Linked DNA regions of Arabidopsis thaliana. The protein of the gene in region 1 interacts with the protein of each later gene in a pairwise test. Each region holds a gene or a part of one and is shown on either strand. Other genes may lie near its edges. The genes, in order: AT3G11580 and AT1G63840.

Region 1 (5,362 bases):
TTGTGTTGCCGTTTTAGAATGTTTTAATCATATATAGAAACAGAAACTTGCGTTTGTGTTGCCACTTACCATTTACCAATACACTCATATATATGCAGAAACACGAAGACAAACATAAATGCATAGAAAGAATTGGGACCTAAACCCATTTTTGTCATAGCTTGTAAAAATGATTCATATTCCTTTTACACTGTCTTTGTAATGCAAAAACAAAATAGAGAATCAAAAGAAGAGTGTAAGTAACACAGCAACAAATAAAATGGTCCCTGGCTTTGGCTTTGGAAAAGAGATAAAAGGCGATGTAACACAACCTATATATTTACACACATGCTATATATGAATATGCTCTCTCTTCTTTAATCATTCGTAATTAGGCCCACACCTTTTCTTCTCGTAATCTCCTCACATGAATCTCTCAACAGTTCCCAATTCATCTTTCATCATCAAATACATGCTACATGTGTATAAGGTTTAGCCTAGGCCTAGCTCACCAATTTGGGGTACCTGCCCTCAAATGACTTTTGTGCTATAGAAAGCTTTCATTGGTTTTATTTTAGCCTTCAAATATCAACTACTATAAACCCACACTAATTCACATCTTTTGCATATACTTTTTTTTTCTGTTCTGACTCAAATGTACAATAGAAACAAAATCTCATCTTTTATTTTTATTTTCAAATTAGTTAAATACTAAATACATAACGAAGCTACTAATAATATTAATTCTTGTCCATTTTTTCTCTATGACAATTGGGCCAAGTATGGGCCCATAATCTAAATTCTAAAGTTAAAAATCTAGAAAGTTGTCACTTCTTTTTGAATGTCAGTCATCAACCTCGTCCATCTCCTACCTGCTCCAATGCTTCCCCAGCAAATGATATATTCTGTTTCACAATTCCAACACGCAATTTTATTATTTTTATTATCATCAAAAACAAATTGTACACCGAATTGTATAGAATAATATGAAAAATAAAACTATCTTTAGTATTCACTTTATTTCATTAATTTAAGTATACAAATATATAATTCTAAGCATTTCAAATTATATCTGAACATTACAAAACATGGTAATAAATTCAAAACTTATGTCATTGATAAGTTTGTAATGCTTTTAGTCAGTTTTGCTTTCCAGCTTATTAGTCAATAATTTGGTTTCACAAAAAAAACTGACGGTGCCTAACAAATTAGAATAGTAAAACCAAAATAGAGACTGTTTTCACAGGAAACTATATACTTACGGCTGATATTAATTAATGAACAAAAGGAGGCTACAGAGACAAAAGAGTAAACAAAACAAATCAAAGTAATCAAATAAAAACCAAATTGGCCATGTGGTTTTACAGTCAAGTGTATAGTATTATTCTCTCTGATTCCTCCTTTATATAATTTATTAAACATAAAAATCTCTTTCAGGTCTATTTTAAAATTACTAATTTTCATCTGTCTCGTCTCGAGAAACAGCCACGACATCTGTTTAATAATTATATCATACGTAAGCAAAAATTTGAATCTGACAAAAATGTAAAAAAAAAAAATATTTACCATGGGATGAGGAGTTGAGTAATAGTAAATGTGTTGGTCATTATAGACATCAGGACGCGGTGGTGGCTCGACGGCATCACCATGACATTCGAGGTTCACGCCAAAAAGCCTCACCGTCCTCGAGCTACCTGCGACCACCGGTGGTATCGACTGAGCATGATCAACGACGGCGCCTACAATTTTTTTCCACCGTCAAGACACGTGCGCATCTTTTAGTTAAATTGTTTTTTTAACATAGAATTAAAAGGAAGAAATAAAGGGCACGTTAGTCTAAGTGGATTGGACGGTTCTCCTCACGCGCATGTAACGGATTAGTTACAACTTGGAGAAGATTATTTGAAATTGTCGGGTCCAAAATTAAATAATAAGAATGACAAAAATAAAAGACAAAATGTTATTTCATGTTGTTATTTTATATACATTACACACGCAACTAAAATAATTGTCATATAGTTTTAGATAACTCATTTGCTTTTTATAAGAAAGATATTCCACCAGCTAACTAAAATGGTTGAGCTTTCCAAGTGCTTGCCCTAACCTTTAAAAATTCTCATATTTTGTTTATAAAACCAAATAAAGATGAATGTTCTTGTTTACTACCATATAAAGTAGGCAGATAATCTAAAATACCATGCATAAAATATTAATCTCTATTACTTTTTTTAAGAGAACATGTAAATATGCAATACAAATTACGAATCATCTATTTTTATGAAAAAGACAAATCTTAAAAGAGAACAGAGAGGAGTATAAATCTGACATATAGATAAGAGAGAAAGAAAAAACAAAAGAGGAAATAAAGGGTTTGAATTTACCATAGTGTGAATACTCTTGGTGAATATTAGGGTAAGTAGTTGACGCGTGTACTTGACGATAAGGTGTAGTCAAGCCGCTCCAATACGCCGTCGTATTAACTAGAGCTTCTTGAGACACAACGGAGACAGCGGGAGAGGAAGAAGCTTCACCGCGTCTCCGCCAGCCAATGAAGAGTCTATGGAGATCAAAACGGTGACGTTGAAAGAAAACAACGTCGCCTGCGTCGAGGTGTTTGTCTTTGACGTACCTGCTCCATCCTTTGGTCAACACGTAGCTTTGGCTACTGTTCCAATAAGAGTATCTGAATTTCCAACACTTGCCTGACTCATCCTCGAAGCTAAGAAGCATCCCTTTCTCCGTCGTCGCCACGTCATCTCCGCTGCCGCCATTATTATTATTATTATTGAGAGGGAAGTATTTCTCGGCGTGTTGTTTTGGTATGACTAAGCGGTTTAGCTTTCCGACGTCGCTTGGTGTGAGTGATTTCTCGAACAAAGACTCTCGTTGTGCTATAGCTACGTCGTTTTGGTGGTGATGATGCAACGAGAGAGTGTTGTGGTAATGGTTGACTGACATCTTTTTTTTTGGTTTCTTGGAGTGAGAGAGAGAGAGAGGATTTGCAGGTGTTGGTTTGGTGGTGAAAGAGAGATGGGTAATGGTACTAATATAGTATTATACAAAGGAGAGAGACAGAGAGTGAAAAAAATTGAAAATGGTTAAATTGATGTGAAAACTGTGGGAACTATTTGATGAGGAGAGGACGACACGATACCGATAGTACTTTTAAGGTTTTGCGTGATGATATTTCCTTTCAATCATTATTTTTATTTTTTTCTCTTCTTTTCTATATTGTTGTTGCAGTCCATAATCCATATATATTTAAAAATGTGGTATTGTTTTTTTTTTTCTCGTCTGATAAAATCTTGTCCTAAACGGCATTGGATCCACGAGTGTTCTATAGTTATAGTGTAAAAAAAGAGTAAGCCACACAAAACGCCGCGACGTAACCCTTTAATTAAAGTTGAAAAGGTTTTGATCATGTAGAAGAAGAATATGTAATTATTTATATATTAGTAAAATTTGATGTCTTGGAATGTTATAAGTTCAACATATGTTATTTCAGCATTGCCGGAACTAAATTCGAAATCCTCCGGAGAAAAGATGATTTGTGTTTTCTTAATTAAAAAAGTTTCAGTATTCACCGGATATGACGTATTGATTAGCAAGATTCTATAGACTGTCAAAGCAGATAAACCTTACATATCAAGCAGCCATAAATATGTGGATTGCGTAAGTCAAACAATCCTTTATCATGGACTCATGTGGTTTGCAATTACTTGATCAGATCCTCATTGGTTTCTGAAGGATTAAATTTCTCTCATAAATGGTTATTTGATCATTTACTCTTGTATGAATTTTCAGCTGAGAATCTTACTAACTGCCATTAATTTATTTGCAAGACAAAGATAGTCGTTTTGTTTTTCTCAACCATTTGGTTCGTGGAATTGATGTGTCAGTATCTTTTGTCTATAAACGTAAAAATAATCTTTTGACAATTAAATTTTGTTAAAGTAGGATAAGAAATTAACTAGAGATAACACCTTCCTATGATATTTAGTTTGTAAATGAATCTATGAGAAATTGAAAACGAAAACAAAAACAAAAAGAGAAGGTAATGAAGAAATAATGAAGGATTAAAGATCAAACGGTTGAGAAGTGAGGTGGTACATATTACGCAAAAGTAAGAAGGTACAGAGGATACTTATCCCTGACGCAAGTGAGAAGCTCAAGTTGTGTAGCATGTGCTTTGCCTTTCCGACACACCATCGCATGCATCTTCACTTCTACTTCATACCATCCCTTATGTTCCTCTCTCTCTTTCTCTTTCTCTTTATCTACATTTTATTCTCTCTTTTTCTTTTCCTAATCATTTTATAATCGAGAGGGATAAAGACTTCAAGATTTATTTGTGAAATCGACTTGACCTTTTGGCACTCTTTCTCTTTTTTTCCTTTACAATATTGAACAACGTAACCATCCTATACTTCGACGCTATTTAATGCTCATCAAGCTGTGATATTTGACCAAACATATAAGTCATGAATCTAGATGAGAAATTGAGAACAGTGTGAAACATTTGATCAATTGTAGAAGAAAAAGTTCTAACTAATATATCTATGGATCGCAAGTCAACAAGTAAACAAACATTTTGGTCTAGCTAGATGCTTGAGTAAATGTTGTTTTCTTGTTTGATGGGTAAATTTCCATCTGTAGTTATTACCGTGCATCTTAAGTCGTGAGTTTCGTATATAATTCTGTGAATATAAGTAATATAACATACCAAGTCTACCACAAAAATCAATGGGACGTGCAAATGGTTACGTGAGTGGTCCTCTTCTATTTTATTTGACGAATTTCTCAAGTATCGTTAATTTTATTTAATATCTTTATCACTTGTTAATTATAGGATCATGAAATATCTGTCACGTGCTTTCAGGAATATCATTGGTGCTTACACGTTTCTATTTTTCCTAATTTTCTCGCAAAACTAAGACTAGTGATACTATTTCATATTTGTTTTCATGAACCATTTCCTCTAAGAAATGGTTCCTCTCACAATTTAACTCACCTAATTGGGAAGCATTAACGATTAAGAGCATATTTTGTAAAAATTTCCAATTCACGTTTTGTAAAAGTTTTCGTTGAGGTCAAGTCTTGTGACTGTTATAACAATAGTATAACAAATAGCCGAAACAACTAGGGTTTCCAAATTCCAAGATAATTGTAAGAATAAAAGAAAAAAAACAAAGATATAAGATTCGTTATATTTGACGTGTTTCACTCCTCTCCTCACACTTAATCGATTCAAAATAAGTGATATAAAATAAAATAAAATTTGTAGTGATCCATGTTAATTATGTCTAAGATATGTCATTGTCAAATATTAGTTTTGCATAATTAAAAGAGGCACTGAAGGACAAACTGACATGATTTTCCAGGT
Region 2 (3,571 bases), on another chromosome or scaffold:
TAGTCAGATTCCCATATGACATGAGACTTTCGCTCTTCCTCAGAAATAGATCCCTTAATATTGTATTCTAGAAGTATATTTGACATAACGGAATCAAAAGCCAAATTGAAGAGCTATGTGGACTTTTCTACGTAATTAATTTAGGTCTTAATATACTTAGTATACACTCTCAAAATGCTAGTAATTAATATAGCAAATGACGAATATGTAGATTGATGATAGTTCAACTAGTCATGTAATGATGTGAAGATACAAACATAATATGCATTTGAACTCAAATCCTATCAACCATAAGTAACATTTGGGTACCCATATTTATACCAAAACGTAACAGCCAATTAAAAAATCTGGTAAAATTTCATAGAAAACGACGTAATCGTGATACCTTTGTTTACTACTAATCTTGATACTTTATGATTTACATCCATGTGAAAATAAAATCATGTAGACCAAAAATTTCTCATACAAAAACATTAAAAATAGAAATAATGGTTTTGCAATATTTTGTTAAAACAGTTAATTTTTTTAAAAAAATACACACGTATATATTCATAGTTTATATACTTTATAGGCTTATAGCATAGTTCAATAGAGGTACAGACAAACTGAAAAGAAATGAACCTAACTATCTGTCTTCACCTCGATTATTTGTCGTCTGTCTGACTATTTTAATTTAATTCTAATAATTTATGAATGTGACTAGTTTGGCTTATAGGCAAAGATCAATTTTTAGAGTGGGGTTATTGAATATTGTATTCTAACGGAATTGTATGTATTTTCAAAGACACGGTGACATCCACTGTCATTCAATTTCTATTTGATTTTGTTACATTTGAGTTTCAATGTATTATTTTGTCTAAATCACGAGTAAAACAAATACGAGCCTTTTATCTCTGATTTTGATGTATTTCTCATAAAAATTATAAACAAAATAATTATTCCCAAAATTGTTTTATTTCTCTTTCATCTAACAAAGAGATAAAGAATCAGAAGCATTTTGAGAACAATATAATGGCGAAGAAACTGCAAGATCCACCGATGGCATCTTCAAAATGGAGCCTTCGGCTTTGGAGGAGGAAGATCGTATTTTAAGAACAGAAATTCGATCATTCATCCAGATCTGATCCCTTATGTTGCAGTTCCCACTCTCTTTTTTTCTTTTCTTTTTTGCCATTTATGATGCAGTGACTCTTTGAACATGAGTGAAGTTCAAAGAGAACTCAGTCAAAATCCATACCAATTAACGATTAACACATTACAACGTAATACATAAGTCGTGTATTGTAGTGACTTTGTCAAAATCCAAATTCAGTTACGCTAAAATACATTGAAAACATCAATCCAATAATTTTGAACCAAAGATTCAAATAAAAACACGATTTTTTTTATTTTGTAATCGAACGATTTTGAACCAAAGTATAGACTAATTAATATTTGGGATTTTTAGAAAAGTTTAATATATTTAAACCCTCATGGGTTAACCTAGGTATGAGTTTTTTTTTTTCATTTGTAATATGTTGATTATGTGTATTCTTGGGTGCTATAAGCAGAAGTTACATTTCTGTCTCCGTATACCGTATTAAAAATAATGTATACTCAATTGTAAATATCTTTGATTATGTCATTATGTATTTCATGTATACATGTCTTTTCTCCTAAAACTTTTATACCACTTCATAAATCAAGAATTGTAAGAAAGTTAAAATTAAATAAACAGAAATTTAGTGTTTAAATCTGATTTAAAATGGAAATTTGAAAGTAACGAGTTTATTATATAGTAAAATACATATAAGAAATTATTTAAAACCCTTATTTAAATTATATAGAAAAAAAAAAGGTCAAGTAGTCTTCTATTATTTACTAGTATAACCTCTAGAAACATCATCACCACATTCCTGGCTAATATCCTTCATCTAGAACAATTATTAACGAATCAAAATACCAAAAAACAAAGCACCTCATTGACTATTAAATTAGTACTAATACATTAATTAAGTTATTATTCCTATATATAAATCTCACCCATTCTCCACCTTATCATCACAATCCAAAACTCTCTCTCTCTCTCTCTCTCTGTCTCTTGTCTTATCATTTATCTCTCTAACGGCGAGGCAATGGGTTTTCCGGTGGGATATTCTGAGCTACTTCTCCCAAAAATCTTTTTCTACTTGTTATCTTTCTTAGGTTTGATACGTAAACTCATCTCCACAATGTTCAAGATCATTGGTCTACCAGATTTCTTAGAACCTGAACCGGTTTCAACCTCATGGCCCGACCCACCACCCACGTTGACCAAACCTGACTCAGCAGCAATACTAGCCGGAGAGATGTTACCGGTTGTTCGATTCTCGGATATAAACCGACCGGAATCCGAGTGTTGCGCAGTGTGTCTCTACGATTTCGAGAACGACGACGAGATCCGACGGCTGACGAATTGTCGACATATATTTCATCGGGGATGTTTGGACCGTTGGATGATGGGTTATAATCAGATGACGTGTCCACTTTGTCGTACACAGTTTATACCTGATCATCTTCAACTGGAGTTTAATCAAAGGCTCTGGTCTCAATCTTCTGCTGTTTCTTCTCAACTTCTTGATGAATCATCATCTTAGGACGTATTAAATCTTTGTCCAAACAAAAAAAAAAGACATATTAAATCCTTTTTTTTTGGTACTTTCATTGGGAATTGGGTTTGGTGTGAGATCGATGTAAATATTAAACAAAAAAAAAAAGGTAGTGGTTACAGGTTAATGAAAAAAGAAAGAAGAAGAAAATTTGTACTTATCCATCCCTGAAAGATGAAATTACATTTTGAGTTATTATAAAGTTGTAAACTTTTTTTTTTTGTTAAGGAAAAAAAAAATCATTTGCTATAACAGATTAATACTGAATGTGTTAGTTTTTTAGTACAGTATTTTAATAAACATTGTTTAGAAGTTATTTTTTAATTGTTACTTGTTCACCTGGCTAACTCAATGATACTGACATATTGTTTTTTGATTAAAGGCTTACATCAATGATATCTTTCTTTTATAATTTAAAATCAACAAGCATTATGCATAGGTCATTGAAGATAAGATTGTTTGTTCATCCCTATAACATGCTGAACTAATATATTTCAACATGTATTTGAGGGTATTTGAAATGTTCTATAAGTGGTAATAACAAAACTGAAGTCGGAAACCGATATGATTATTCCCCACAAGTGCTAACATCATGTATTTAGGTTCTCATCCGATGACATGTCTTGAAAGAAGCAAAAATTAATGGCGAAATCGTCATGAATATAGATATATCTTGGACATTGCATTTGACTTTTGTTTGATCACGTCTCTCACAAAGGAGCTTGGTGTGTCCTTTACGATTTATCATGTGATCTATTGTGACAATGCTGGAGCTATCTATCTATGGGATAATCATTTTGTTTCATTCTTGTTTGAAACATGTGGCACTTGACTATCATTTTATCCTAATCATGTTTTTCACTCCCGGTTTCTTATGTATTGTTCATATTTCGTCAAAAGATCAATTAGCAGATACATTCACCATATTTTTTGCTTACTATATT

Evidence for each region.
Region 2: the proteins of AT3G11580 (region 1) and AT1G63840 interact in a two-hybrid assay, tested with the Arabidopsis thaliana proteins (one large-scale study listed by BioGRID).

The regions. Positions count from the first base shown.
Region 1 is NC_003074.8:3,648,335-3,653,696, forward strand, and holds AT3G11580 (AP2/B3-like transcriptional factor family protein), read right to left. Parts: upstream 3,156-5,362; 5' UTR 2,938-3,155; coding exon 2,361-2,937; coding exon of another isoform or gene 2,245-2,360; exon of another isoform or gene 1,719-2,244; coding exon 1,180-1,718; 3' UTR 885-1,179; coding exon of another isoform or gene 831-884; 3' UTR 626-830; downstream 1-625.
Region 2 is NC_003070.9:23,689,035-23,692,605, reverse strand, and holds AT1G63840 (RING/U-box superfamily protein), read left to right. Parts: upstream 1-1,798; 5' UTR 1,799-2,114; coding exon 2,115-2,615; 3' UTR 2,616-3,003; downstream 3,004-3,571.